4 separate regions of the Mus musculus genome follow, and regions 2, 3 and 4 are each reported to be linked to region 1. The links are microRNA targets in miRTarBase. Many come from high-throughput screens and were not tested one by one. Region 1 holds a microRNA gene; each other region holds the end of a gene's coding sequence.
What was found. The annotated mature microRNA mmu-miR-24-3p reads UGGCUCAGUUCAGCAGGAACAG and lies in region 1 at 3,831-3,852, shown strand. An mRNA with a match to its seed (bases 2 to 7 or 8) in the 3' UTR can be bound and repressed. Matches are read on the target gene's strand: a 7mer-m8 pairs with bases 2 to 8, a 7mer-A1 pairs with bases 2 to 7 and ends in A, and an 8mer does both.

Region 2: miRTarBase lists Gprasp1 as a target of mmu-miR-24-3p. Seed matches in the 3' UTR shown: 7mer-m8 at 2,007-2,013.
Region 3: the mRNA of Pianp is a reported target of mmu-miR-24-3p. Seed matches in the 3' UTR shown: 7mer-m8 at 1,601-1,607.
Region 4: miRTarBase lists Nf1 as a target of mmu-miR-24-3p. The part of its 3' UTR that is shown has no 7-base or 8-base seed match.

The regions. Positions count from the first base shown.
Region 1 is chr8:84,205,045-84,212,666 of GRCm38, forward strand. It overlaps Mir24-2 (microRNA 24-2), which reads left to right and starts at 3,771; the gene lies at 3,771-3,877. Zswim4 (zinc finger SWIM-type containing 4) reads right to left here. Exons shown (of 14, transcript NM_172503.3): 14 at 5,898-7,622. The coding sequence ends at 6,902. It overlaps Mir23a (microRNA 23a), which reads left to right and starts at 3,474; the gene lies at 3,474-3,548. Mir27a (microRNA 27a) reads left to right here and starts at 3,628; the gene lies at 3,628-3,714. It also overlaps Mir3074-2.
Region 2 is chrX:135,801,373-135,808,994 of GRCm38, forward strand. Gprasp1 (G protein-coupled receptor associated sorting protein 1) reads left to right here. Exons shown (of 11, transcript NM_026081.5): 11 at 1-2,096. The coding sequence ends at 1,731. Among named protein-coding and RNA genes, the nearest start is that of Mir1970, 19 kb to the left of the region's middle.
Region 3 is chr6:125,001,291-125,008,912 of GRCm38, forward strand. It overlaps Pianp (PILR alpha associated neural protein), which reads left to right. Exons shown (of 6, transcript NM_175696.4): 5 at 137-358; 6 at 673-1,806. The coding sequence ends at 694. Among named protein-coding and RNA genes, the nearest start is that of Zfp384, 4.1 kb to the right of the region's middle.
Region 4 is chr11:79,577,000-79,584,621 of GRCm38, forward strand. It overlaps Nf1 (neurofibromin 1), which reads left to right. Exons shown (of 58, transcript NM_010897.2): 58 at 1,255-4,610. The coding sequence ends at 1,397. Among named protein-coding and RNA genes, the nearest start is that of Rab11fip4, 10 kb to the right of the region's middle.

The DNA of each region.
Region 1 (7,622 bases):
CCTCTGTAGACCAGGCTGGCCTTAAACTTCCTGAGACATACCTGCTAATGCCTGCGGAGTGCTGGGAACATGTGTATAAACCACCACACTTCCTTGATATGGTACTGGGGGTGAAGCCAAGCCCAGTCAGTGTGCTAGGCCAGCAGCTGCCATTGAGCCTTACCCCTTGTTGCTTTTTTTTTTTTTAATTAAAAATTATTTCACCGGGTGTGGTGGCGCACACCTTTAATCCTAGCACTTGGGAGGCAGAAACAGGTGGATTTCTGAGTTCGAGGGCAGCCTGGTCTACAAAGTGAGTGCCAAGGACAGCCAGGGCTATAGCCATGGCTACACAAAGAAACCCTGTCTCAAAAAAACAAAACCAAACCAAAACAACAATTATTTCCGTGTGCAGATGTTTTGTCTGCATGTATGTCTGCAGAGTTCAGAAAAAAGTGTCAGGATCCCTAGAACTAAAGTTGGAGATAGTTGTTAGCCACTATGTAGGTGCTGGATATTGAACCTGGAACCCCCGGAAGAGCAGCAAGTGCTGAGCCATCTCTAGCCCTTTCTTTTTGAGACACACCATGTCTTGGTAGCCCAGGCTGGCTTCTAAATTGAGATCTTTTTACCCCTGTCCTAGATATAGGGATTACACGTCTGCAGTCTGCTGTCATGTCACATCATCTCGAGCTCTGAAATGATTCATTTTTGCTTTCTTGCAGACAGAGACTTTGCCACAGAGCACGTGTGTTCTTTGCCCATAGTCAGCCAGCAAAGAAGCTGCATAGCTCACATGCAGGCTGACGAGCTCCAGAACTGAGTGTCCCGTAGCCAAAACCCTTTCCTTCCCTTTCCTCCCCCTCCCCCTTTAAAAAGGGCCTCATATGTAGACCAGGCTGGCCTCAAACTCATATATATCTTCCTGCTTCTGTCTCTTCCTAGCTGGGATCACAGGTATGCACCACTGTAGGGCTTATATAAGACCTGGCCCTGGTGCATGGCATGAAAATTCTACTCTCCTCCCTTTTGTGTGTGTGTGTGTGTGTGTGTGTGTGTGTGTGTGTGTACAGAGTGCAATGTCAAGTGTAGTTTCTCAGGATTGTGTGTGTCTGATGTCCTAAAAGGTGGGAGACATAGAATCTCCTGTAACTGGAGTTACAGATGGTTGTGAGCCACTGTGTAGGTGCAGGGAACTCAACCCAGGTCCTCTGAAAGAGCAACAAATGCTCTTAACCACTGAGCCATCTCTCTAGCTCCAACCTTGTTTTCTCAGAGAAGGTGTCTTACTGGGACATGGAGCTGGTGAGGCGGGCTGGTGGTGAGCCCTAGAGCATCTTGTGGCTTCCCTTCCCCAGCTCTGGAATTACAAGTGTGAATTGCCATACCTGGGGACAACACAAGCCCTTTTGCTTACATGGTGACCACTTTATTGATTGACCTATCACTGAAGACCCTGATGTTTTTTTTTTTTTTTTTAAGATTTATTTATTTATTATATGTAAGTACACTGTAGCTGTCTTCAGACACTCCAGAAGAGGGAGTCAGATCTCGTTACAGATGGTTTTGAGCCACCATGTGGTTGCTGGGATTTGAACTCCGGACCTTCGGAAGAGCAGTCGGGTGCTCTTACCAACTGAGCCATCTCACCAGCCCGACCCTGATGTTTTATAAAGAAGACGTGTGTGTGTGTGTGTGTGTGTGTGTGTGTGTGTGTGTGTGTGTGTTGTCTGGTCTTTGTGCATGACAGTGCAGTACACTCAGAGACCAGAAGAGGGAGTGAAATCCCCAGAAGCTGGAGTTACAGGTAGTTGTGACAGGTGCTGAGATCCAAACTCGGGCCCTCTGCAAGAGCAGTAGCCACTCTTAACCACTGAGTCAGCTCTTTATCTGAAACAAGGTCACTTGTGTCACTATGTAGCCCTGGATGGTCTGAAACTCCCTACACAGACCAAGCTGGCCTTGAACTCTTAGAGATAGTACTGTCCAAGGCCTGGTTCTTGCTTTCCTTTGCCTTTCAAGTGCTGGGACTAACAGTGTGCACCACCATTCTTAAGTTTATTTTTATTGTCTGTTTGTGAATGTTTGCTTACGCGTACGTCTGTGCACCATATGTATGCCTGGTACCCACAGGGGCCAGTGGGGAGCGTTGGAGCTCTTGGGAATGGAGCTATAGATAGCTGTGCTTGTCATGTAGGTTCTGGGAAAGAAACCTGTCATCTCTCCAACATTGAAATTCTTTAAACAATTTTTAAAAATTGTGTGTGTGTGTTCCCAAGTGCAGAGATCAGAGGACAACTTGCAAGGGTCCGTATGCTTTTCTTCTTCGTGGTTCTTGGGTTTGAGCTCAGGGCATTGGGCTCCATAGCAGCTCTGCTCACTTGCTGGATCAGCTTGCTGGCCCCTGAAAACTTTAACTGGCACGCAGGACACTACTCTACATTGGGTAGGCCCCAAATTTTGTGGCTTGCCCTGGTACTGGGTGCTAAATACCTTCTCTGTAAGTTTTCACTGGCCTTCCTAGTAGAAGGTTTGGGGTTTTGTTGTTTTATTTTTGTTTTTCTTCTATTTAAGACTAGGGTCTCAAACTGTAGCCCAGTTAGGCCTAAAACTCATCATGTAGCTTAAGCAGGCTTTTGACTCCATTCTTGGCAACCTTCCTGCCTCAGTTTCCTCAATGCTGAGATAAACGTGAGCCACCAACTGCAACTGTTGTAGTCTGCTTTACAGATGGGGAAACTGAGGCTTGGAAGGCCTAGGGGAAACTTTACTGAGGTGTTATTGTTGGGGTGCATCGGCCTGCTTCTCCTTGCTTGGGCCCTAGGTGGTGTGGGGTGGGGGTGGGGTTATGTCTGAGCTGGCTGGGGAGGAGAGGGCTGAGGTGGGAGGCCCTGGAGTTTCCTCCTGCCCTTCAGGCTTCTAGGAAGTGGCGCCAGCTGGGGTGAGGTCACTTCCTCCCTCCAACCGTCCACCTCCCTCAGCTTCCTCTCCATGGCCCCATTTGGCCTGCTTTGGGCTCAGGGCTGTGGGTGGGGATAGAAGCAGAGTGGGAAGCAGCTGGGAAGGCTCTGCAGCCCCTTTGGCCTTAGGGCTTCAGGCACCTCCCGCTTTGTAGGGCTGGGGTAGAGGCACTGCTGGGTGCCCAGCATCCAGCAGCCTCGCTCCAACCTTCCTACGGATCGATGCTCCTCTTTTTTGGGAATGCTTCTTCCCTCTTGGAAGTAGAGGAGGGCTAGGGTGTGGATCAGCAAGCTGAGTTTAGATTCTGTCCCCAGCACCACTTAAACTGTGTGTGGTGAGGTGTACCTATAATCCTAGACTCCAGAGGTAGAGGCAGGAAGAACTGGTGCATTCGGAAACCTTGTGTTCAGCTATGTGAGACCCAGCCTGGTCAAGATAGGCAGGCAAGCAAGAATGCTCCAATCTCACTGTCTCTTCTTTCTCTCTTTAGGTGCTACACTCCGCTCCCACCTGCTGCCCCCCTCACTGTGCCTCGGACGGCTGGGGTTCCTGGGGATGGGATTTGATGCCAGTCACAAATCACATTGCCAGGGATTTCCAACTGACCCTGTGCTCTGCCTTGGGGGCTCCTGTCGCCAAGGATGTCTGTCTTGGGTACTGGGTAACAGAGAAGCCTATCATGACAACTGGCCTGAGGAGCAGGGCTTAGCTGCTTGTGAGCAAGGTCCACAGCAAAGTCGTGTTCACAGTGGCTAAGTTCCGCCCCCTGGACCCCATCTCCTCAGGCCGCTGCTGCCCACCCTGCTCTGCCTCCTGGCTGGCAGGGCTCTGCCTCTCTCCGGGCTCCGCCTCCCGTGCCTACTGAGCTGAAACAGTTGATTCCAGTGCACTGGCTCAGTTCAGCAGGAACAGGAGTCCAGCCCCCTAGGAGCTGGCAACCCTGCAGAATGTCTGCCGTGAGCAAGACCTGGAAACAATGGGGTAATTAGTCCAACCTAAGCCCCGTTGTCTGCTGGAGGCTCAGCCTCTAAGCCTGCATCTGGGTGTCCACCTTGAGATTTCTGTGGTTCCCCAAAGCAGATAGATGGGCGGGTAACCCTTGCATTAAAAGCCAGTTATGTCCCCTCAGGGCCTGGAAGCCCTTCTTTTCCTAAGTCTGGTGGGGCTCAGGCACCACCCCTTATACATACCATCTTTGAAGTCAGTTACCCAAGAGGAAGCTGCTTTAGGCCCTCTAACGGTTAAATGCCAACTCTCTGCTTCCGGAAGAAGGCACTGACCTGATCCAGTGTGCCTAGCAATCCCATGGGGTCTGCAGCTTTCTGCTGGTGACAGCGAGGCAGGGAGCGAGGTCCACACAGGCCTCAGGATATGAACAGATCCATGCCCCCCCCCCCCATTGGCCTGTTGAAGTAATCTCCAGGCTTGGAAGTTAAAAAGTTGCCTACTACCCACAAATGAGACTGCATGCAGACTAATTGGAACTGGCTGAGTTACACTTCCCAGACCATACAGTGTCCTCTCCCTACTCTGGGCAGGGGCAAATCGAAGCCTGGGTGGAAGAACAGAGTTGAAAGCTTGTATTGAATGTTGTTCTCCAACTAAATAAAAGCTCCACAGCCTCATTCCGTAAGGGCTGACGTCTCTTCATTCCCGCCTCCCACATGTGTGTTGCTGGCTTTTTTCATTTCTCTTGAAACAGCATTTCTGTGTAGACCAGGCTGACCTTGAATCAAACTCCTCCAGTGTCTGGAGTTTGGGAATACCAGCTGCACCACTATATCTACCACACCCTGGGCTCCTAACCTGCATTGCACCTATCCCCAACCTTGCTCCACCTGCTTCTAGGAAGGTGTAAATATAGTTCTGTGGTCAGTAGGTGCTGCGACCTGAAGATCCTGGGATCCTTTGGGGATGGCTTGAACGGGAGGGATAACCCAGACCTGGGGTGTATGAGACCAATCTGTGGTCACCCCAGTTCCATGAGGGAGTATGTTACAAGAATGTACTCTGCCTATGCTGGGATGCACTGACTGGCAAGATGCCAGGGCTTAAGGACGGGCACATATGCGCGCACAGACAGACACGCGCGCATGCACACACACACACACACACACACACACAGGGCTTAAGGACGGGCACATATGCGAGCACAGACAGACACGCGCGCATGCACACACACACGCACGCGCGCGCGCCCGTCTACACACACACACACACACACACACACACACACACACACGCACGCACGCACGCACGCGCGCGCGCCCGTCTGCGCCAGAAGGGCTAAGGGGCGGATCGCCTCTGATCGGCTCCCTGGAGCAAAGGAACGCACCATGAACTATGGCCACACTCATAGTCACAGCCAGCTCCCATAGTGCCCCACAGAGGCAACACACACACACACACAGCTTCCAAGAGAACGGTCCTAAACAATGACCCTGTCAGACACAGCTAAGGACATAAAGAACCGGAGAATGAGAAGAATGCCCAGGCCGTCCGCTGGATGAATCCATCTAAGAACGGGAGTCTCATCCACAGCCCAAAAATGCAATGGGCAGGTCACTGGGGACACAGGCGTCCCCAGCTGCCCTCCGCACCTGGTGAGACCTCCGGAGCTCCGAATGACGTTGTCTGGAGCCAGACGCCCCCTGGTGGTCATTTCCTGCAATGAAGGACAGTGCAATCTGGGTGCATTTTCCAAAAACCTACAGACTCTAGGTTTGGGCGTTTTAAGCCTCCTGACTTGCAGAGATTATGACATGCAGATGGAAAAGCAGTAAAGCCACCAGCAAGAGGTGGCTCTTCGTGTCACCACGATGCCATGAAGAAACCAGCAGCCTCTCCTGTCCCATTCAAGTTGTGCCCAAAAACCGAGATGGAAAATTTTTTGGTTAATTGAGCAGGTGGTAGGTACCCCTGGCCCCGGGTGTTTGTGTTAGCAATGCAACCCAGTCTTGAAGTTAAAAAGAAGTTGTGTTCAATCTTTTTTTTAAAAAAAAAGGAAAAAAAAAGGAAAAGAATACAGTATGGGGTTCAATAAATAAGAAAAAAAGTTACAAAATGATGCCAACTTTTTCCTTAATATACAAGAGAGAAGACAGGTGCGTCTGGGGTGGAGGCTCTCCCTTCTCTTCCTCCCTGGGCCAAGGCCTGGGATACAGGAAGGCCTGTCAGCAGCTGGGACTTGAGAGAGATGCAGACATGGGGAAACTAAGGGAGTGGGGAAACAAATGGAGGTGCAGAGCAAGAGGAAGACAGAACGGGGTCCCTGGCTGTCTGCCTGTGCCTCCCACAACAGGCTGGAGGGCAGCCTGACTCCTGAGTTGTGTATCCAGTTACTAGTGGTGGGGTCTGGCCAGCAGAGAGCTGTCCCCAGCCTACCCTGTGACCTTGGTGCCCAAGAGAAGACAGGCCCTGGCTTGACAAGGGTATTTGGGGGTGAGGTATGTGGCAGAGGCCCAAGACCTCTTAATATCCTTCAGTGGGGTGAGGCATTTGTGCTGGAAAGCTGGGGCTGGGGGCGCAGGGCAGTGGGACAGGAGCCCTGAGCTGTGGAGAGGGGAGAAACACAGTGGGAAGTAACTACCCTGATGTGAAGTGCCTAGGCTCCGGCCAGCTCCGGCTCTGGAGCATCTGCTGCACTGAGTTGGAGGCCTAACTTCACTCTGGCCCAGCCCTTCTCCTGGAAGTCCCAGCTGACCCTGGGAGTCTGGAAGAGCCAGAGCTTGCTTCTTCCGTGTGAGGTGCCCAGGCACATACTCCCTGCAGGGTCTAGTTAGCAGTATGGCTTCGGATCCTCAGATCGCATGTCCCGTTTGTCTGCACACTCCTAGGCACACACCTGGAATGATGTCACCCTCTGCCTCCCACCTCTGTAACTTTACTGCAAGTAGCCATGGGCCTCCTGTTTGAGGAAGGTGGGCCTGGGACACCCATGCTCCCGGCTTTCTGCAGTTCCTCAGCCAAACCGTTCCCGAACCAACAGCATCAACTTCTTCTTTCCCTTGTACGTCTGTTTCAGGTTTTCTAAGAACTGTGCGAACTGGAGGTGCCCGTCTGGTGCCAGAAGGAAGGTCTCTCGAGCTTTGCCCAGGAACTCAATGAAGTCACCATAGTGGCGTGGGCTAATGTGGGTGAGGCGAGAGTGGCTGGTGGTTATGTACGCGGCTACTGCGGCATCCAGAAGCTGACAAAGTGGTGCCCTGTCAGTCCCTAGTGGTTTGGTAGCCCTGCGGGCCCCCAGTGGGCCCAGCCCGGGTGCTGAGAGTGTCCAGCGTCGCAGGATGTCTGAGAGCATGGGTGCACAGTGGATGCTTCGGATGATGAGAGGGACAATGGCCGACAATTCGTGCCGCCCCAGCGAGTGGCTGAGGGAGCAGGCCCACAGCACATCGTTGACTGCAGGGTGGCTGTCTTGGTTGAAGGCAATGCTGAGTTGTGCCAAGGCTAGCGTGGCCAGCTTGTAGGCCCGCAGAGGCAGGCCTCGATGCTCCATATACCGTGCAACCGTGAAGAGGTGGGCGTGGCCGAGGCCACCGGCTGCAGCGTCCAGCACAATCTGGTAGGCAGCCTCAAAGGCCGCGTGGTTCTTCTCACACAGGGTCAGGGCTGGCAAGGCGCAGTTCTGGGGATCCTTCATGGCGCACTGCAGTGCCAAGGTGCGGGCACAAGCCCAGAGC
Region 2 (7,622 bases), not on the chromosome of region 1:
GAGGAAGACATTATTGGTTCTTGGTTTTGGGCTGGGGATGAAGACAGGTTTGAGCCAGCTGCTAAGATTAATGAAGAGAACAAGATAGCATCTGAAGATGAAGATACAGTTGGATCCTGGTTCTGGGGCAATGAAGAGGCCAGTCTAGAGGCAGTGAGAAGGGGTACTTTTGAGTCTGCTCCTGGGATTAAGGAAGAGAAAGTTACTGGGTCATGGTTCTGGACTGATAAGGCCAAAGTAGGGGCTGGGTCCCAGACTGTCGAAACTGGGTCAGAAACTGAAGAGGAAGCAATTTTTGAGTCCTTGATCTGGGCTGCAAAAAAGGACAGTATTCAAGCAGGAGTAAAGCGTGTGTCCAAGCCAAAAGATGACGGTAACATAGCTGTTGGGTCCTGGCTCTGGTCTAGTGACAAGGCCACAAAAGAAGCTAAAACTCTGATTGTCAGTGAGGCCAGTCCAGAAAATGGGAAAGAGTCAGTTGTTAAGTTTGGGTCAAGAGCAAAAGATGAGGTGATTAACAAGACTGGCAGTGGTGACAATTGTAAACATAGTACAGAAGCTGAAACCATAGTGGGAGCCTGGTTCTGGGAAGGAGATGAAGCTAGCTTTGAATCAAATCCTGTACCTGTATGCAAGGCCGTTTGTGAACCCGAGTCTTCAGCTGAGCACGAACCTGACCCTTCCCGCAGGCCTCAGAGCTGGGATGAGGTCACTGTTCAGTTTAAGGCTGGTCCGTGGGGAAAAGCTGGCTTCCCACCCATGAACCCCTTCAGATTCCCCAAAGAAGCGGCATCTCTGTTTGCAGAAATGTTTGGGGGAAAGCCTAAGCTTGTGGAAGTTGGTCCAGAAAGGGAGCCTGAACCCCAGTTCCCATTTCAGTATGATCCCTCTTACCGCTCAGTCCGAGAAATTCGCGAGCATCTTAAGGCCAGGGAAAGTGCACAGCCAGAGAATTGGTCTTGCAACTGCATCCAGTGTGAGCTTAGAATTGGTTCTGAGGAGTTTGAGGAGCTTCTTTTACTGATGGACAGAAATCGTGATCCTTTTATCCATGAGATATCTAAGATTGCAATGGGCATGCGAGGTGCTTCTCAGTTTACCCGGGATTTCATTCGAAACTCGGGCGTTGTCTCCCTGATTGAAGCCTTACTTAACTATCCGTCCTCCCGAGTGAGGACAAGGTTTTTGGAAAATATGGTCCGCATGGCTCCCCCTTATCCAGACCTGAACATGATTGAGACATACGTGTGTCAGATTTGCGAGGACACCTTTGACTATGACTTGGATTCCCCTGATCAGTTGTCCGGATTGACAATGATTACACACCTCACTGCTACTTCTGACTATCACAAGGTGGTTGTCAATTACTTGGCTGGGTTTTTCTACTTACTGAATTCAGGCAATACCAAAACAAGGTTTCATGTTCTGAAACTGCTACTGAATTTGTCTGAAAACCTTGTCATGACAAAACGCCTACTTGTTACTGATTCGGTGTCAGAATTTATGGACCTTATTAATAGGGAGGAGTCAGATGAAAACATTCAAATTGTTCTTGCAATATTTGAGACTATCAGTAAACATATTCAAAAAGAGGCACTGTTTTCTGATGATGATGATGATGATGAAGAAGAAGATGCAGTGAATCTTGAACCATTTATTTCTGCATTCCGTGAGGCTGAAAAAATTGCCAAGGAACTAAAACGCAAACCTGGCAATCAAAAAGCACCCTGAAGCAGTACAACAAAAACAAAAAGTAATTTGACTAACCCTTTGCCTCCGGTTGTCCTTTTGTTCCTGAGTCATCTGACCCTCAAATACTGCTTTGCTTTCCCAGCTGCTTCCTTGTTTCAGTGTACCTCTCTAATGCTGGTGGCAATTCTACCCAACCCTGTGTACTCTGTATTATCGTTCTGATGCCAAATGAAGATACAACTGAAAACACATGACACTTGTTGATGACGCTTGTTGTGTTGATTGTGATGTTCAGTATTTGAGTGTAAAGTGAACTGAGCCGTTGTAAATAAGATGCCCTTCTAAATGTTGTTCTCGTGTATATTTGAGTCTTGTGCTTCAATAAAGGTCTATGTGAAAGTGAGCAGAAATTGCCCCTTCACTGTAAAATACAGATGCAAAGATGGCACATGAACACACACAGAGAGAGAATGTCTGAGTCACATGCTTGTTACAAAAGTTTTTCTCAGCATTAAATCTCAAAGGTTGGAACAGACTGTAACCCAGAGCATCCTTCAAAGAAGACTCGCTTTACTCTAATAGAATTTACAACATGATAAGGAGCAAAACATGGGGTAGGGGAATGTGTTTCTAGACTTATATCTAACTTCCTGGATTAGGTGGGAGAACTATAAATCGAAGAGATGTATTAAGAATGAGATAAGTTTGAAAAGCAAGTTGGACTTTGCTGTTCAGAATACTATGTTCAGAATATAATCAGGGTGATGCAGAAGATAAAAGAATAGCATCAGAAAGAACAAAAAGTTCATTCAAGTGGATGGTTAAGTCGAAATAGTTTTGGTCTCACTTGATAAGATACTGTCCTACACTAGTACAGCTGGAGAGGTGGCTCAGTTGGTAAAGTGCTTGCCATCCTGCCCTGCATTAGGACCCTATCACATGCAAATCCAGAGATGCTCCTGTCTGCCTGGTGCTGGGAGGCAAAGATGGGAGGATCCCAGGGGGGTCTCTGGCCAGCTAAGCTAGCCACTCTGAAGGTGAAGCGCTCACAGAATTATTTATAAAACTAGCAAAGTCATCATTTATCCACACTTTTTCTTTGTTTCTCGTGACCGGGTGTTTTGTATCTCAGGGTCACCTCAAACTTAGTACCTGAGACACTTTGAACTTTTAAGGCTAGGATTATAGGTGGCTGTACTCAGTTTCAGGTAGCACCGGGGCCATCAGAGCTGTAAAGTTCCCTGCCTTTCACCTGCTGCAGCACTGGGGAGAGTAGGCCCTGCACCTCACCTGGGCAGCACAGTACAGCTGGCCCTGGATGTGGGGGTTGTGGGTGAGCTGGCCCTGAGGGCTTGAGAGGACAGCTGGCTGGCTGATCAGCTCACATACCTCTCATGCCTATATACAGGACTTTGAGTTGGTCCACCCCAGCATCTACCCTATCAATGAACTGCTGGAGTGAGTGAAGGGGCCAGTCCTACAGAACCAAAACTACAGGATATCTGAGAGGAGTCTCAGTGAGGTTCCAGTAATGATAAAGCAGCAGAAGCTAGAGGTCTCGAACCAGACCTGTGAGTCACTGCAGTGAACATTTGCAAGCAAAGAAGTGTGGACAAAAGGGTGTACTGTGGGACACACGGTGACACACTAAAGCTTCCACCATGAGATTTTTTTTTTAATTTGTTGTTGTTGAGAGGAGAGGTTGCAAGGATGGATAGCGGGCGGGTATGAGGGGAAGGAGAGATGAGTGGGAATAGAGAAAATGATTTGAGATTCACAGAGAACAAATAGAAGTTAATAAAGTAACATATATGAACAAATAGTAGCAAAACCTGTTATTGGCATTTTATAGTTATGTTTTTTGTTTTGTTTTTAGATGATCTAAAACTTATGTATCAAAAGGATCATTGGGCAGTGGTGGCACATGCCATTAATCCCAGCACTTGGGAAGCAGAAGCAAGTGGATCTCTGTGAGTTCAAGGCCAGCCTGGTCTACAGAGCCAGTTCTAGGACTGCCAAGGCTACACACAGAAACCCTGTTTGAAAAGAACAAAACAAAATTCCAGGAATGGTGAGGTGGCTCAGCAGTCAAAGACACTGGTTGCTCTTCCAGAGGTCACACTGGCTGCTCTTCCAGAGGTCCTGAGTTCAATTTCCCAGCAACCACATGGTGGCTCACAACCATCTGTAAAATGTATACATGTTTAAAATGTTTAAAAGGATCATAATCTGTGTGTGGGGACATGTGCTATGCAATGATAACTATGGAAATAACAGAGTGTAAACTAATAGAGATAATCTAAAGAGAGGCTAAGTTTCAACAGCGGAGTGGTGTCAGCAAAATGGCTTACAAGTAATCCTCCCTCATAAAGACTGCACTAAATTCTGGTAAACTCTAGAGAAGAAGTGAGAACAAAGAGCACCCAGGCCATTGTAAAGGCAAGGAAAGGATTCCAGCAAGGGGGGTTGAGCATGCCAAAGGGTTTTTTGGGTTTTTGTTTTGTTTTATTTTGTTTTTCCAGACAGGGTTTCTCTGTATAGCCCTGTCTGTCCTGGAACTCACTCTGTAGACCAGGCTGGCCTCAAACTCAGAAATCCGCCTGCCTCTGCCTCCCAAGTGCTGCGATTAAAGGCCATGCACCACCATGCCTGGCACAAAGGGTTATTTTATGCCACGCATACCCTCACTACACAGCCTATCATGGTTAACCAGGTAACCACAGTGGCAACTAAGAAGAAACATCCTAAAAGTCTCTAGCTTCAGAATGGAGTGGAGACAAAGGAGTAGGTAGTCTTCCTAATGTCCTGTTTGGCAGCTGTCCAGGAAACTTTCCCCCTCACCTGACTTGAAGCTCCCTCAGCTTATGTGTAGAAAGGCAGGAGGAGAAAAAACTTGAGAGCTGCAGAAAACTACCACTGCATCCTAGACATGCAGTACTGAAGGGAGACACTAGAGGGAGCAAAGGATCAGAGAAAGGTCAATGGGTCTTGGAATATCTAATCAGGATGATGGTTAAAAATCTTCATTGGCACATTGTCAGGACAGAAAGACAAAGAGTTGATTGGTTTTTGTTTTTCAAAATGAATTCCCAAATCCCCGTTGATACAGTCCCACTAAGTCCCTCTCTCCTCTCATCTCCTCCTCTATTTTCTCTGCAAGAGACTGCAAAGTGTATAAGGAAATGCAAACAGCCCAAAGCAAAGGTGGGGGAGGGGACTACAGAAAGCCACCATAAACTATCTATTAGGCAAATAAACTCAAATAACTGTCAGAAACTTTTTCAATGAGTTAAGGAAGAACACAATGTAAATTTAATCAGGAAAGTGATGAATGAAAAAAAATATGAATATTAGCAAGGAAACTTAAAAAAAAAAAACTATAGAAAGGAACCAAGCAGAAATTGTGACACCAATAAATACTCTACCTGAATTTATACTATACGGAAGTTCTCAAAAGGAATTCAGCAGAGGCTTAAGCAGGCAGAAGAGATCATCTTCACACTTGAAGACAGGTCACTTGAAATCATGAAGTCAGAGAAGAGAAAGGAGAGGAGGGGATGAGAGGAGAGAGGGACTTAGTGGGGTTGTATCAAAGAAATGGACATATGCACTGACAGTATTGTACTGGCTAGTTTTGTGTCAACTTGACACAGCTGGAGTTATCACAGAGAAAGGAGCTTCAGTTGAGGAAATGCCTCCATGAGATCCAACTGTAAGGCATTTTCTCAATTAGTGATCAAGGGGGAAAGGCCCCTTGTGAGTGGGACCATCTCTGGGCTGTTAGTCTTGGTTCTATAAGAGAGCAGGCTGAGCAAGCCAGGGGAAGCAAGCCAGTAAAGAACACCCATCCATGGCCTCTGCATCAGCTCCTGCTCCCTGACCTGCTTGAGTTCCAGTCCTGACTTCCTTTGGTGATGAACAGCAGCATGGAAGTGTAAACTGAATAAACTCTTTCCTCCCCAACTTGCTTCTTGGTCATGATGTTTGTGCAGGAATAGAAACCCTGACTATGACAAGTATCTTTTAGGAGAAAGGAGAAATGAGGGACAGATGGCTTGTTTGACAAAACAGTGGGTGAGAAGTTCCTAAATCCTAAGAAAGCAATTGACAAGTAAATGCAATAAACCAAAATATCAACTACATAAATCAAATGGGAGAAATGGGAGACTTTTGTCTTAAATCAAAGACAAAGACAGAAACTAAGAAGCCAGAGAGAAGAAATGACTTGGCATATACAATAGAGCTTCCATGAGATTAGGAGTGGACTTCTCATCGGGAACGATGTTGGTTGTAAGGAAATAGAGTACATGTTCCAAGTATTAAAGGAAAAATGTTGTCAATCAAGACATGAACCTATCAATACTGTCTTTGGAAATATGAAGGAGAAAATAGATTTTCCTAGATAAATCTATGACAGCTTATTCCCACTGAATCTTCTCACAAGAAATGAGGATCCTTGAAGACTAAATTATTAAAGGAACATATACAGCAACACAAAGCCACATAAAAATGAAATGTCTCTAGTACAAACTTAAAAAATATTCTCCAGTATAGGAATCTGTATTATTGTGATTTTGGAACTGGAATTTAAAGAACAGTCAAAGAATATCTGTTTAATGACTATGTAGCATGTAAAGGGTTGGCTTCTGATGCAAAAAAAATGGGAAAGCTATAGGCAAGTAGTGCTTTTATATGCTACTGAAGTAATGAAGTTACGTTTCAATTTAAATGGTGCACTGTTAAGAGGTATTACATGCTAACTAAAAAGGACACATCAAAACACAAAAGGAAACAAGAAGAAACACCAAAGCCTGTTAGGAAAATATAAAAAATGGGGGAGGGGGGTAAGAAAGAGGAAACCAACTAGCAGATCATTAAGGAAACAGCAAAATGAAAACAATATCCTTTTCGCCGGGCGTGGTGGCGCACGCCTTTAATCCCAGCACTCGGGAGGCAGAGGCAGGCGGATTTCTGAGTTCAAGGCCAGCCTGGTCTACAAAGTGAGGTCCAGGACAGCCAGGGCTATACAGAGAAACCCTGTCTCGAAAAACCAAAAAAAAAAAAAAAAAAAAAAAAAACAAAACAAAACAAAACAAAAACAATATCCTTTTCTATTATTAATGAAATAGATTAAACTTAGAATCAAAGCATATAGATTGGCTGGCTGGCTTAAAAATGGAGAGTAATAATTGGTATGTATATATATATATATATATATATATATATATATATATATATATATATATGAGAAATTCTTCAGTCAAGAAAAAACCCAGACTAAAAGTGAAAGGATGGTAGTACCACAGAACATGGATGTCTGCACTAACATCAGACAAACATTAAATCAAGAACAATGAAATATAGAAGGATATTATATAAAGATAATAGAATTAATTCATCGATACCATGAACATTAACTATGTCCTATTCTTAAGGACACTTAGGTGGTGCAATTTTCTTTGCATAGTTGAAGAACTAGTTACATAACAACAGTGGTACAATTCAGCAGCAGGCTTTCAATTGTGAAAAAAATGATAAAAGTCACTTGAAAAAATAATGGAATTGGAGAGCAGTATAAAACAATGGAATATGACAGACATAATGGCACATCACCCTAACAGTATCACAGCATACATTTTTAGCATATGCTAGGAATAAAGTCAATAAATTCAAAAAGATCAAAATCATATGAAGTATCTTCTCTGATCGTACTAAAATGAGAAAATAGACAGAAGCTGAAATTTTCACCACCATACTGAAATTAAGCAACACATTCTCAAAACAACAACAAACACAAAGAGAAATCTCATAGTTAATTCAAGAATATGTGACAGAATGAAAGCAATCAAAACAAACCCAAAGTTAGGGAATATAGCAAAAGTAGTTTTTTTTTTTTTTACCTGTTGATGCATATGCCAAAAAAAGAACAC
Region 3 (7,622 bases), not on the chromosome of region 1:
GACGGTCTCAGAAGCCAGTTTCCTTGCTGTGGGGAAGTTGGGGTGTTTGGGGAAGGAGAAGCTGGGTTAACCAGGGATGCTGAACTGAGAGAGTACTTGAGTTTGTGAGAAGACCTCTTTCCTTATGATGCACAAGCTGGGACCGTAGCCAGAAGCGGCGCAGGCCCTCAGGGCAGCAAGGTGCCCTGAGGCAGGAGGAGAGTCAGCAACCACTGACAGACCTGTCTCCTGCTGGAGTCACTGTGCTGGGGGCTTTTGGGGACTCGCCTACCCCCACCCCTGACCATGAGGAACCCCGAGGGGGACCCCGGCCTGGGATGCCCCAGCCTAAGGGGGCTCCAGCCTTCCAGTTGAACCGGTGAGGGCGATGGGATGGGAGGGGCTGATGGGATGGGAGGGTGAGGAGGGAACCTCTAGACCTTCAGTTATCTTTCCTGGGTGGGTGGTCTTCCCTAATGCAGTCCATGACACCCTTCCTGACCTGGTTCCTGGGCCTCCCAAGGGGGCTGGTCAGATCCTCTCCAAGGGGAATGGGGCTCCCTGCACCCCTAGGCTCTCTGTTCTATCCTCCTACCACCCTTAATTCCAGCTCTGCCCTCTTAACCCTGACTTCTCCTGCAGCTTCAGCCTACTCCTTGGTTCCTGACTGTGCATTTTCCCTCTTCCTCTCAGGATTCCCCTGGTGAATCTGTGATGCCCCCCCATGTTGGGGTGCTGCCAAGCAGGAGGCCAAGTGGCCAGCATAGCCACCATCCACTGAGGGTGGGGCAACCCTGGGGAATTGGGGCCATGGTGGGGGGCTCCTAGCTCCTGTCCTTGCACACAACCTGGGACACTCACTAATCCCATGGGCAAGCCCAAGCGTTTGTCCTCCAGTGACTGGGGTCTCCCATTCCCACCCTTGCACATTCACATGAAAGCCTTGCACACTCACCCACACCCTCACAGGCCATAGCACAGTCACGCTCTCCACGCTGCTCCTCTGCCGTGTCCCCATTCACGTCTGCTCAGCCGGCTCCTAGCTCTCTCCCTCGTGTTGCCTATGTCCTGCCCCCTTTACATTCTCTGTGCCCATCTCAGACTGGGCACGAGCATTTCTGGCTCCAATATATGGCATAGTGTGCCCACTCTGCCTCATCAGCACCCACTGGTCTAGCTTCTGTGGCCCTTGCATGCTGCCCTAGAGGTGGGTGGGAGGTGAGCTAGGGGCTCCTTGTACCATTTGTCATGGCCCCATTCACATCTGTGTCTTTCCATTCCATTCCAAGGATGCTGGTATTACTGAGGGCTCCCCCACAGGAACGGGGGTAGTGAGGCCCAGTTGTTAAACTCTGTCATCAGAAGTCTGGGTTTGGGGGAGTCTCCTGCTGCACTACATGAGAAGGGACTCCCATGTCCTCCCTTCCCTCCCAAGTCCCTTGTTTTGTCGGTCCTGGCTGTCTGTGTGTATGTGTCTGTATGGAATTCGGAGCCCCCTCAACAGGTCCTCCATCTCCCACCCTCCCCTAAGGCCTCCCTTAATGTACCTAGGCTGCCAGGAACTGAAGCCAGCTGGTTCAAGGCCATTGGGAGCTCTGCCTCCATATCCACCCTTCTCTCCCTGAGCCCCTCACGTTCCCTCCTCCCCTCTCCCTTTTCCGTTTTTTCAGATTCTTCCAGTTTCTCGCTCACCTCTCCAGCTCCCTTCTCCCTCTTACCTGGCTCCTATGCTGTGATATATATTTTTGTATTATCTCTTTCTTCTTGTGGTGATAATCTTGTGGGATGTAAGTTTCAAAATTTTCAAATAAAGCCTTTGCAAGATAATTTAGTTGCCTGTTTTGCCTTATAATTCCCAACCCCTGGCACCGTCCCCCAGCCCCATACACAGAAGAGGATGGACAGGAAGGAGAATGGGAGAGAAAGGGGAGATGAAGAACTTCTTCAGACTAGATTGTCACCTGGCCTGCTCTACCTGAAGCTGGAGACTGATGGATACCTTAACTTAGGACAGGATGAAGGAAGGAACCGGAGAGGCTCCAGAGGAGAAAGAGCCCTGAGGGGGGAGAACTTGCATCTGAAGTGTTTTTAAGGCTTGCTTGTTCCTTACTAGTGAGGGTCAAGAGAGACCAAAGACAGAGAAAAGTAGGGACATTTCTTAGGACAAGCAATGAGACAAGCCAGAAAGGCAATGGATTGATTTTGACATAGAGTCTCTCACCCTGTTTCCAGGCTGGCCCATACTAGATTCACCCACCTTGGCCTCCTGAATCCTGGCATTACGGGCATGAGTCACCACACCGCACTGGGCAAGACAGCTAAGGCAGAGGATAAAGGGTCATAGGGAGAGGATGAGCGAGCCCAGGAGAGGATGCTCTACCCGCTCTATTTTCATCCATGCTCCTTACCATGGCCCTGCCCACAACTGCCCGCCAAAAAGCTATGCTGCACCAGGAGCCTGTGTGCAGCTCAGTGTGGTTTTCCCACTTGCTAAGGTGTGGGGGTGGAATCAAGGGGTGTGTCTGGGGAGGGAACACAGGCTGCCCAGCTGGGATCAGTCACCTCTGGGGTCGCAATTCTAGGTTTGGCTCTTTAACAGCCCTAGTAAAGCCCACACATCAGTTTCTCAGCTGTTGCTAGGCTCTGTTGCTCTGGTAACCACCTAGGTCTTGTGTCCTGTTCCTCCCCACCCTACCCCCCATCTGTGCCTCACCTGCTCTCTGGAAATGGCTAGCCCCACGGAAGTAGGAGACAATATAGTATCCAAGAGAGCAGTGTGGGCTGCCCGGAATGTACCTGCCTCCATGTGTTTTATCTTTGAGGCTATAAATAGGTGTGTGTCATGCACGTACACACACACACACACACACACACACACACACACACACACACACACACACACACAGAGAGAGAGATAGATATGCTTTAGATGCTGACGAGCTGTACTGTATATTGAAAGACGTGTAGCTGAGCCCCTAAAGCACACGGTGACGACTGTCTGTCTTAGGACAAGGGCAGTGTTAGGACAGGCTGCTCCAGAGGAGAGCAGCGACCGGAGTCATGAACCAAGGACCACCCTGCTGAGGTAGGAGCAAACAAGCCTTCTGAGGAGGGCTGTCAGCACAGTGCACAGGAGATTCCAGAGGGAATGGAAAGGGAGGGGGCCAGGAGGACACTGAAGGGCCTGGGGGAGGTCGGTGAGTAGGGAAGGAAGGAAGGGCTACGTGGAAGGTGAAGAAGCCTCTTTAACCTTTCCAGCGTTCCCCACAGGGCTGGAGGCCTTGCCATGGCGATGGGGAATGAAAGAGCACTTGGAGTAGAAGGGCAAGATGCTCTCGTTCGAAGGGCTCCCTGGGCTCTCACCTTCCACAACTCTCCCTTTAGAGGGACAGTGTGACCCTGTGGCTCATCCATATGCAAAAGGCACACATGAAGTCCCCTAATGAACAAGGAATTAATTGCCGTCTGATTAGACTGCAGTCCTCCTAAATTTAAATAAATTAAACATACCAGTGAGACACTGGGAGTCTCACCTGTTCCCTTTCCCCAGATGCCCTCTCCACTGTGGAAGGGCAGATGGACAGAAAGACAGGAGAGAGAAGACAATCTGGATGTTTGGATCGCCTGCTTAGAGGAAGTATGCCAGCTTGGGTCAGTGTCTTGCTAACCATGACAAAGCATGGGCCCTGGGGAGCACACCTTTCATTTTTCTCTTTCTTAAAACTCCAACAGTGACTCGGGGCTTCGGGTCTTCAGGCGATAGAGTTATAGAGGAGAAAAAGAACAAGGACCAAGCGGCTCTTCTGAGAACTGGAAGTTTCTTGGAGGCCACAAGTCACAAGCCCAGTTTGAGGGAGGCATCTCCCATCACCAAGCTCCCTCTGTTGAGGGAGTACATCAAATGACTCAGCCAAGGTTCTCCTAGGCACGTTTCTGGAATGCTTACCATTGCAGCAGACCAGAGCAGGGGATGGGGAAGCCCCCAGGAGGAGGGATCTCCTAGTAGGGCTCAGGGTGTGGAAATGATTCAAGATGGAAATTGTGCCAGCTGGAGAACCCCAGGCTAAAATTAACAGCCCTCCTCCCCACCCCACTGTGTCCCACATTTACTGCTCTAAAGCTTTGTTCCAGGGACTTAAAAGTGGCTTCTTAGAGCAAAAGGCAGGAGGAGGGCTGCCAGAGGCGCGGGGCTCAGAGAGTGCTTGAAGAATGTACAGAGGCGGCAGAGCTGGAGAACCAGGACTTTTGGGAACTACTGTTTTGCCTCCATATTTCTTTTCTCTCCCTCCCTTCTTCCTGCCTTTTCTTTTACCTTCTCTTCCTTCTCTTTTGAAGGCAGAGTCTCTGTATATAACCGAGGCTGGCCTGCCCGTAACTTAGAATACTGCCCCAGCCTCTTGAATGCTGGTATTACAGTTACATGATGGCTTATCAGGCTGAAGTCCTTACAACTGAAGTCCTTATCCTGCTAATTTGCCACTGAAATCAGCACAGAGTGCTGAGCTCGAAACTGTAATAAGAAGGAAGAGATACTTGGCATGGTAGCTTATGCCGATAATTCCAGTGTCTGGGTGACAGAGACAGGAGGATGAGGAATTCCAGGCCATCTTAGCGATGTGCTAAGTTTGGGTCAGTCTGGACTAAAAATATGAAAACAAAACAGTTCTGGGAGACGGGTGAGCTTGTAAAATGCTCTCCATGAAAGTGTGAGGATCTGGGCCTGGTTCCCAGCACCCACGTACAAATACTGGTCATGATGGTTCACACCTGTTAATTCCAGCCTTGGGGAGGCTGGAAGGATCTCGGGGCTTGATGGCTAGATGATGTGGTTGAATTGGTGAGCTTTATGTTCAGTTTGAGACCCCCATCTCAACAGAAAAAAAAAAATGATCACAGGAATTAAGGAAGACATTTAATAATGGCTTAGACACACACACACACACACACACACACACACACACACACACACACACACACACAAATAAAAGGTATGGAGATTTATGTTTATAATCCAGCACCAAGGAAAGCCACTGAGGCAGCAGCATTAGAAATTCAAAGTTATCCTAGCAAGTTTGTGACCAGGCTGGGCTACAAGAGTAGACAAGGCTATCTGGTCAACCTGATCTACATAGTGAGTTCCAGGTTAGCCAGAGCTACATAGTGAGACCCTATCCTAAAGAAACAAAGATATAAAGCTAACTTTTGCGATTCCTGGCTGTGACTTTGGGGGAAGAAGTCACTTGAACTGACAGTCCCACTTTAATTATCTGTAGAATAAGATCATAGCTCTTTGTTAGAGTAATTTTGCTTTCTCACTATGGGAACCCATTTGCATGAGCTGAGACAGACCTGTGGCTACATATACTTACTAAATAAATACATAAATAAACAAACATTATTTTAAATACTAAAGATTCTTTCCAGATTTGGTACCGAGATGGATTTCTGGTAACCATGTCTTTTAATCACTGGCTACTTGAAGCAGAGGAAGCTGGCACATGAGTGCCACCAGGCACCTGCAGAACAAAGGAAATTACTAACAGTCACAGTCTTAAGAGAGGTAGGGGGTCTCAGAGCCTAGCAGATTAGTGAAGGTAGCAGATAGGATGTAAAGAAGGCATTTTTGAGCTGGGTGGTTGTGGCTCATGCCTTTAATCCCAGCACTTGGGAGGCAGATTTCTGAGTTCGAGGCTACCCTGGTCTACAGAGTGAGTTCCAGGACAGCCAGGGCTACACAGAGAAACTCTGTCTTGAAAAACCAAAACCAAATAATAATAATAATAAATTTTTTTAAATTAAAAAAAAGAAGGCATTTATGAAGTTAGTCCCATTGCCCCATCCTACCTTGGGGCTGTTACATGCTAGCAGTTTAGCAGCTTAGGGAAGGCCCGAGATAGAAGGAAGCTGAGCTCTACAGGGTCAGCATCTGTGACTTTACACATATATTATTTCAGTATGTGAATCAGATTCCTGACAATCTTTTTTTTTTTTTTAAATCTATGAGCTTTCTGTTTATTGTAAACGGGATTAAATAAAGTCAGTCATGGGTCAAGAGGAAGAACAAGAGACCAGTTGACAGGGAGTGAAGGTAGGAAAGGGAGATAAGGTAGACAGATAGAGACACATAGGAAGTCCTGACAATCTTAGTAGGGATTCAGATATATAAATTAATTAAAGTTAACAGTAAAAGCAATAGACTAAGAGATCTCAAAAATCCTACTACTTAGGAGGTGGAGGAAAGTGGATCAAGGGTTCAAGGCCAGTTTTAAATACACCAAAGTAAGCTCCGGTCTCGAAGACAGAGACATAGCTGGGTCACGGGAGGCAGAGGCAGACAGATGGGTCTCTGAGTTCAAGGGCAGCTTGGTCTGCAGGGAGAGTTTCAGGATAGCCAAGGCTACACACACACAAAAAAAACCCTGTCTCAAAAACAAACAAACAAACGACAAAAACACAGTAAATGCTATGAAAAATTAAAAAAACCCTTTGGGTTGCAGCAATCAGGGAGTTTCCTGCAATAGTTTATAATGTTCATTTACGTATCAAACGTTTACTGGAATGCTTAACAAATTCTGGGATCTGGTGATACCATCGGGAGCAATTCAAAGTCCTTGCCCTTATGGAGCTGGGCAACAACACCAGGTGAGCTGTAAACAACAGCAGGTACGCTGAATGTTGTACTTAGAATTAAAACCCGGTAAGAAGATAAGAGATGTGGGTGTTGGCAAAAAGAAAAGACCAAAGTGAAAAGAGTAACGGAGTGGTCAGAGGAAGACCGATTGAACTTTGATAGCACCGATCCCGAAACCTCAAACAACTATGGGCCTTCTTACCTTTCTTGAATATTCAAAGAAATTAGTTTCCCCCACTCTAGCTCAGCAAAAAGACATTCGGGAAGATCCAAGAAAAAAGGGTAACGTCCTACAACAACCTAGTCCATTAAGAAATGAGCTGTGACTCCCGTCTTTTTAAGATTCCGCATGGTCGGACTGGAGAGATGGCTCAGTGGTTAAGAGCATCGACTGCTCTGCCAGAGGTCCTGAGTTCAATTCCCAGCGATCATGGCTCACAACCATCTGTAATGGGATCCAATGCCCTCTCCTAGTGTGTCTGAAGACAGCTTCAGTGTACTCAAATAAATAAAAAAATAAATAAATCTTTGCCGGGCGTGGTGGCGCACGCCTTTAACCCCAGGCAGAGGCAGGGGGATTTTTGAGTTCGAGGCCAGCCTGGTCTACAAAGTGAGTTCCAGGCCAGCCAGGGCTATACAGAGAAACCCTGTCTCGAAAAATAAATCAAAAAGGATTCCGCATGGTGAAGAGTTGGCTCAGCTGGCCGCTCCTCCAGAGGACCGGAGGTTCGGTTCCCAGATCGCACACAGTGAAGCTGGAAGCAGGTAGCGGTAACTCCTGTACACACACGGCATGCATAGGCACAGATAAACGCACATAAAAGTAAAGCAAATCTAGAAAAAGAGGGGCGATCTAAACTGTCTTTAGTGTCTTGATGCATAATTCATGAACCCGTCTAGCTTCCATCCTCCCACTTCCCCAGAGGTCTCTTCCGGAAGCCCGGGAACGCTCTCCTGATGCTCAGCTTCAGCCCTTTAACACACGCTGCCTTCACGTCCGGTTTGGGCGTCA
Region 4 (7,622 bases), not on the chromosome of region 1:
TAAATATCTTGTGGCTTAAAATAATACTTTATTGCCCAAAAATGGAAATGTTTCCATTCCCAAATGTAATGATTCTTTTTAAGTTCAAGTAGTCCATAAAGTTAAAGTTAGACCTGGGATAACGCTGCGGGCCATGACATGAGCAGATGGTTTCCTGCCTCCCCACCCCCAGTTAAGTGTGGCCTGCCCTTCCCTGCTCCTCCTCCTCGTGTGTCTGTGAACAGTTTATATCAGCTACCAGAATGCCTCCTGCCAATGGCTATGCTAGACATGATGAGTACAGTATCTATTTGGGAAGCAAATTCTTTTGAAGGGTAGAAGGCAGAAAAGTACACAGGTCATAAGTTTACAGTATAATGAACTTTTTAGAAGCAAACCCACTCATAATGAAGATCCAGGGCCAGGCACAGTGGCACATGAAGGCAAAGGCAGGCAGATCTCTGTGAGTTCCAGGACAGCCTAGTCTGCGTACCAAGTTTCAAGACATGTAGGGCTACACAGAGAGACCCTGTCTCAATCAACTAATGATCAAAATCCTACCAGGGATTGTGAAGGAACATGCTCGCTGCCTAAACTGCCTTCCTCACCTCCTTCAGACTGTTCTTTTCTATCTTTATTTGTAACCTTTATCAATATGCTGAGATTTTTCTAAATTTGCCCTTTTGTTCTGATCACCTTTCTGAAAATAACGTTTACATTATTTGTAAAATACATTATAGGACCCTTGAGTGAGGTTGAGACAAGTGTAGTGACTCTCCATGATTGAAATGAAGCCAAGATCCGGGCATGGCCTGCGTGGTAGGTCACCTTTTCAGGAGATGCCCTCATTCCTCCAGAACAGGCATTGAGGCCGATTAAAGGAGAAGTATATGCCTTTTTCTGAAATGGCGGCTATGCAGAAAGATGGATACATGGCTAGAATCTGCCCTCTGCTGGACACTCATGGTACAACTGGGAGAAGGTACTCTCCTAAGGCTTCCTGGATGGCCAGCCTTTCACCCTACCTCCCTCCAGCTGTTCTTGCAACTTCTCTTTTCTCTTACGCTGTTTCACAACAATGATAGAAAATTCAGCTTAGCAAGGTGTGAGGCAAAGTATGTGGCAAGGCCTTTGTAAATGTCCTGGCAGTTTACTGTGAATGTGGAGTATGCTGGGACTGCTCACCATTCCAATCTCACCCACAAGCAATGAATGAGATTGGGTCCTGAGCTAGCGTCAGGAGAGGAGGAGTAACCAGCTGTTGTGTCTCTCCAGGACTCGACAAGGAGAACGTTGAACTCTCCCCCACCGCTGGCCACTGTAACAGTGGACGGACTCGCCATGGATCCGCAAGCCAAGTGCAGAAGCAAAGAAGTGCTGGCAGTTTCAAACGTAATAGCATTAAGAAGATCGTGTGAAGCGTTCTTTGTTTCACTCTTCAAACCAACCTAACATGGCTTCTCACTAGTGACCCCTCACCTTGCACTGCTGCACTTCGTGTCTTATGATCCCATCTGGTCGCCGTGTCGCCAGACGGTCATCTCTTGGAGCATTGCCTAAGTTTAATGCTGCTTTTCTTTGATGTTTTTCCTTCTACTTTGGCATGTGTCTGGTTGAGCACTTGTTCTGAGGACAGCAGAGACAGCAGGCGGTCAGGAGGCCTGACTGAGAGCGTGGACCGTGGGTGTGGATGAACCCTGCAGTGCTGCCGCTGCCGCAAGCCACGGGCCGTACGCGGAGGACGGCCTTCTGTGTTCCCGTCTTGCAGAGTGAAGGGGTCGTCTTAGTTACACACTTATAAGTTTGGGGGAGAAATCATATTTTAACCCCAGTGTATTTAATCTTCTAGCTGTGGACTTTTTTTTTTTTTTTTTTTTACCTTATGTAGTTGAAGGAACCACAGAGGCCAAGCCTCAATAAAGCCACAGGCCAGGGACTGAGGGAGGGGCAAACTAATATTTTGTAACGAATTCTTAAGAAATACTAACATTTGAGTCTTAGCAATAAGTACAGGAAAATAAGCGTGACACACACATCTTAACATTGCTGAATTAAAGCTATTGGTTCTGAGGCCTTATACATACTTGGTCATCCAACCTGGGTAATTTTTTTCCAGTTGATTATCTTTTAATTTTTACATATGAAGGTGTTCTGTTCTTTTTTTTTTTTTTTAAGCCAAGACTATACTAAGTATAGAAACTACACTTGTGTTTGCACTTGCTTTCTCCTCTTTCCTAAGTGATTCTAAGCAGGGTAATTTGCAGACAGAGTGGTGAGACTCGTTTCCACAAGGTAATTTTCATAGCTCTTTCCATTGGCTCCGTAGCAAAATGGAATGGTACGTGACATAGGGTAGGTGATATTTTTATTTTGTTAAATAATTTTCCAAGAAACAGAATATGCTGTATATTATCATAAATTTCTTTGATAAGATGTATTTTTAAAATCTTTTAATCTTACTCCTCTCCTCCAAATAAAATCAGGAATCTCTAGCAAAACATTTGGATTCTATCTGATAGGATTGCATTTAGTCACTGTGAAGTCTGGCCGGCCTGTGTGGTATGGACACAGGACCTCTAGGATCGCTGCTGTGCAGAGTGGCTGGACCAGTGGGACTCAGGCCCTTCCAAGGGATGCACACCCAGCTGCTTCATGGTACCCGCAGGATGCAAGACAGTTTGACTTTAGTGAGCACAGTAGTACATGGATGCTCTCAGTTAAGATTGAACTATATTTATTTTTAAAAGGTATTATCCCTCTACTTCCAGGTTCCCTTCATGTATTAAGACATAATGGCTTTGGGAGGGACCAAAAGAAACCCAGTAGGGTGTGGACAGGTCCTGTAGTGCTGGCTCACTAGTGGATTTCAGTAAGTTAAACTCCACAGCTAAGTCAATAAATAATGGTACATTTAAGTATTCTGACTTTAATAATATAACACGTTTCACACTTATCCATACAGTAACAATGTAATATGTTAATGTAAATAAAATTGCTTTTGATATTCAGAAATAACAATTTAATTTTTTTAATTTGTTTACAGCCCTGGGAAAAGTAAGAACCATTTGCCAAAATAAAAGGAAACCCCTTAGTGTTAGTAGTGATTTTAACATAGAATCACTGGAGACTACTGGAGACAGATGCAGCAAACTGAGCTCTTGTAAAGGCTGCCTTAGAATAACTGTCAGAGCAGATAACCAAGGCTGGGAGGCTGAGATGCCAGCTGAGTTTAGCCGCAGGAGGCCCGTGGCTTAGCTGCCAGGCCCGGCTCCCCACCGCAGTACTGCTGGGGTGCACCCCGCTCTGGCTCCTGCAACCGTGGGCAGCACAGACTGAGGCTGCTGTAACTCTAGTTGCTTGGCTTTTTTAAAGTCATTGAGTTCCATTACTGGCCCATTACTGTTTTGCTTCCCCCATCAAAACAGGACAACTTATAAATGTGCACTCTTCCTGTAGCGGGTTTCCCCATAGTTCTTAAACTGCCCCACTTGAGCTCCTATGGAAAGATCAAACGGAGCCACTTCTGACCAGTACATCCCAGGAAACTGGGGCAGCATTCCAGTTTTATCTAATAGACAGAACTTCCAGCTTTTGAGGAAAGTCTATCTTTGCAAGCAACTGAACCTACAGAGCTTAAAGTATCACTAGCTGCCCCTCCCCCAAAGGAGACTCTAATTACAGGAGCAGCTGAAGGTCTGAGTAATGTCCCATTTTACACAATTTGGTGTGAGTTCTGTGATTCATTTTCAATTTGTGTTTCCCTGACTTAAAAGAAAACAAAAAAACACTAACGGCTGTGTTTGTGCGTTTGGCTGGTACTCCTCCCCTGGGCTCCCATGCCCTCACTGTGGGGACACTGCACTCTGCTGGACAGTTACTCTTGCCTGCATAGTGCTGAGGCCGGAGCCTGGACAGTGCAGACTGCCACAGCCCCAGTGGGGGGACTCGCCCCAGCAACCACTTCCTTGGGGGGTTTAAGGTTGCAAGTTTCCTCTGGGAGATCTGGCTTTTGTTTTCCAGGTTTGGAGGAGTTTCCCCCCCCCCCTTTTTTTTTCTACATTACTCCCCAAGCATATTGAAGCATGTCTTATTCAATGTTATGCAATGGACTTCCACAAAAATTCACTTAGTGTCAGCCACACAATTTTTTTTTAATGCGGTATATTCCCCTGTAAATAGTTTGTGTAAAATTTGACAGAAAAGTCTATTTACTACATTGTAAATACATGTGATGATATATTGTATTATTTTGCTTTTTTGTAAAGCAGTTAGTTGCTGTACATGGATAACAAACAAAAATTTGATTATTCTTGTGTTCGTATTGTTAACTTCTTCCTGCGACTGCGTTCCATCATTTAAAGAAAATGCTGTGTATTGTGAACTGACCTTGTATATGATTAACTTACTCCCCTCCCCAACCAGGGGTTCCCTGCCTACAACCTTGTTGATAATGTAACCAGCAGGAGAACCTCTGCCTGACACACAGACTCCACTGCTGTGGGGAAACATGTTGACGTCTGTCGCAGAGCATCGGCCTCACTTGCTCCTGTCCTGTGTATGCCCTCCCTCCCACCCACCCCCCCACCCACCCCCTTTTTTTTTTAAAGTAAAATGTAAATTCAATCTGCTCTAAACTGTGAGGAGTTATTTATCACATGCAGCCAACTGTTTGTTTCTCTCTTCCTCCATGATCTTTAGAACATTAGACCTTGTCCACCTTTCAGGTGTGTTGTGGATTGCCTCTGCTCACCCTAAGGGAAAGATCTTTCTCCAAAAGTAAAGTCATTGAGTTCCAACAAACAGGGGTCTGTCCAACACAGAGGCAACTGTCACTCTGGCATAGGTGAACTTACTTTCCAGAGAGTAGCCTGTCATTACTTCCAGGCTCCGCTAATGTCGTGAGCAACTTCCCTGAGTGCTAGTATATCACTCAAGGAGAGCTACTGCCCACCCCTGTAGGAGACGGAAGCCTCCTGGCCCTAGGAGTAGAATACTTCTCTCTGAGCAAATGACCCAAAGTGTGCAGGGCTTTTTATGGGCAGGTGGAGACGAGAGGTGGTATTCTACCTTATTCTACCTTGGGAGCTCTGGAATATTCTGGTACCACCCCAGGCAAAAGCAGACCCACGGGGGTGGGGAGGGTCTGAGAGAGTATGTATATTTAAAGCATCTCTGGCAGTTTTGCTGGACACCCAGGCTTGAAGACCCCTGAAACTGAGTACTCAGTGCTGCAAATAGCTACCTGTCCCTGGGGCCTAAAGCACCTTAGTCAAAATTACCCATATCTCTGCAACAATCCAGATTGCACCTCACGATTCCTAGACAGCAGGCTCTTTGACTTGGCCAAGGTTTGCCAGCACAGATGCTGTCCTCTGGGTATCCTCATCCACTTGGCCATAGTGAACAGTGTGGCCATGGGATGCTGAAAATCAACTGGTAACCTTTAAACTGAAGGGACAGCCTCTCCCTGCACCCTGCAGCTGCTTCCTCCAGGTAAAATAGGGAGGCCACACTGCCATCTTGCCTGGGTCCTTTCTGCCCAGAAGTTAAGAGTGTGGCCAGTTGTAAGTCTTTGGGGTGAGGGGTGGGGGGAGTCAACAGCTGTAATTTCCACTGCCGGAATTCCAAACAAATACCCCTGCAAGAGGTTTGGCCTCTGCCGGCTGTGAACTTGTGACTTTATTAGGAAAATGGACACGTAACTGATCGGCATGTGTCCTAAGATACAGGGTTTTTGTTTTGTTTTTGTTTTTGTTTTTTTGAGGGGTGCACACCCCACCCCCCCCCAAAATACTTAAAAGACCTACCTTAGCACAAGGCCACACAAACAGGCACTCTTTCCAGCCCAGTGATTCTAGATGCTTCAATAGAATTAGAGGCCAGAGAGTTTTTCATAGCAGCTTGTTGGTTTGTGGAGCAGAGGCAGAAGGGAATGCATTGCTTGATCTCTGCCTCTACCCGAGCTCCACCACTGACCATTCACACTAGGGTTCTGCAGGAGACAAAATTTCTAGCCAAGAAAGCTGGAGAGAAGGCTAAGCGGTTAAGAACATGGGCTATTCTTGCAAGGGACTCAGATTCGATTCCCAGTGCCCACCCATATGGAGGCTCACAACCATCTATCTATATCTCCAGTTCCAGGAGATCTGATCTGATCACCGCGTCTGCCTTTCCTGGGCACTGCACTTAACATATGTGCATACAAAACACCCAGACATATAAAATTAAAAATCTTTAAGAATCATCACCAAAACACTGCCACTGCTGCCACCATCATCCCAAGCCATGCTGAGAGCGGCTCTACTCCTATTCCCCTGGCTCCCTGCTTAAACTAGGGGCTCAGACAAGGGGAAGCTGTGGTCGCAAATGCTCGGTAACACTTAAGAACTAACACTAGGTTCTATGTTGCTGGGGAACTACACAGGCAGAAAAACAGCAAAGAAGCCCTCATTGATAATACCAGCCCCCATGCAAAATCCCAAACAAAATAGAACCTGTGTAAAAGATCCATTGCAAAACTCTAGTCCTAGGGCTAGGGTGACATGTTCAGAGACACCAGCCAGTCGTCAGAACTGATGGAAAATGAGAATCAAGAAAAGCCATGCTCTAGTGCAGGCATTTCCCAGTCATTTCCCAACGATTTCTTCAGCTTGCACAACCATACATGTACAGAAAGAGTTCATTTCACCCACAAACAGCGGGGAGGGAAGGAAGGAAGGACAGGCAGAGCAGCCTTCCTTTAAATACTTCAAAAGTATTTAAAACTGGGAGAGAGAGAGAGAGAGAGAGAGAGAGAGAGAGCTAGCTCAGTGGGGTTCAATTCCCAGCACCCACATGGCAGCTTACAACTGCCTAACTCCAGGATCCAACACCCTCATACAGACAGGTTTGCAGGCAAAACACACTAAATGTTTGTTTATTTGTTTGTTTGTTTGTTTGAGACGGGATTTTTCCTGGCTGTCCTGGAACTCACTCTGTAGACCAAGCTGGCTGTCCTGGAACTCACTCTGTAGACCAAGCTGGCCTCGAACTCAGAAATCCACCTGTCTCTGCCTCCCAAGTGCTGGGATTAAACACATGTGCCACCACTACCTGGCTAAAAAAATTTTTAATTTAAAACTTGTAGAGTGGGAGCAAAGCTAGGAATGGTAATGTGGGTGAATGTGGTCAAAATGTATGATACACTGAGACAAATATGCCATAATGAGACATAATTTTGTAGAATGAATATACACTAAGGAATTTTAGAAACTGGTAGTGGCTGGGAATGTGCTCAATGGCCGAGCACTCACCAAACACGTACACGGTCCTGGGTTCAATCCCTAGCACTGAAAAAGGCCCAAAAACTTATTGTCATTGGATTAGAGCAGGTCCAGTTTATACTGTAGTTCATTTTCACCCTGCTATGTACATCACTAGCCAGCAGGGGGCTCTACTCAGCCAGTTTTGTCGAGGCGCAAGATCAGCCAGCACAAAGGCAGGCATTGTACTGTCCCCTCCACCCTGAAGAACTTGGACTGCTTTGGGTGTTCAGTACAGTGTCTACAACCACACACAACTGGTGAGCACATAAACTGTGACTATCAGAATTAGAAGTATATTTTTAAAAAGAAATAACAACAGCAACAAAACAACAAGGTTTT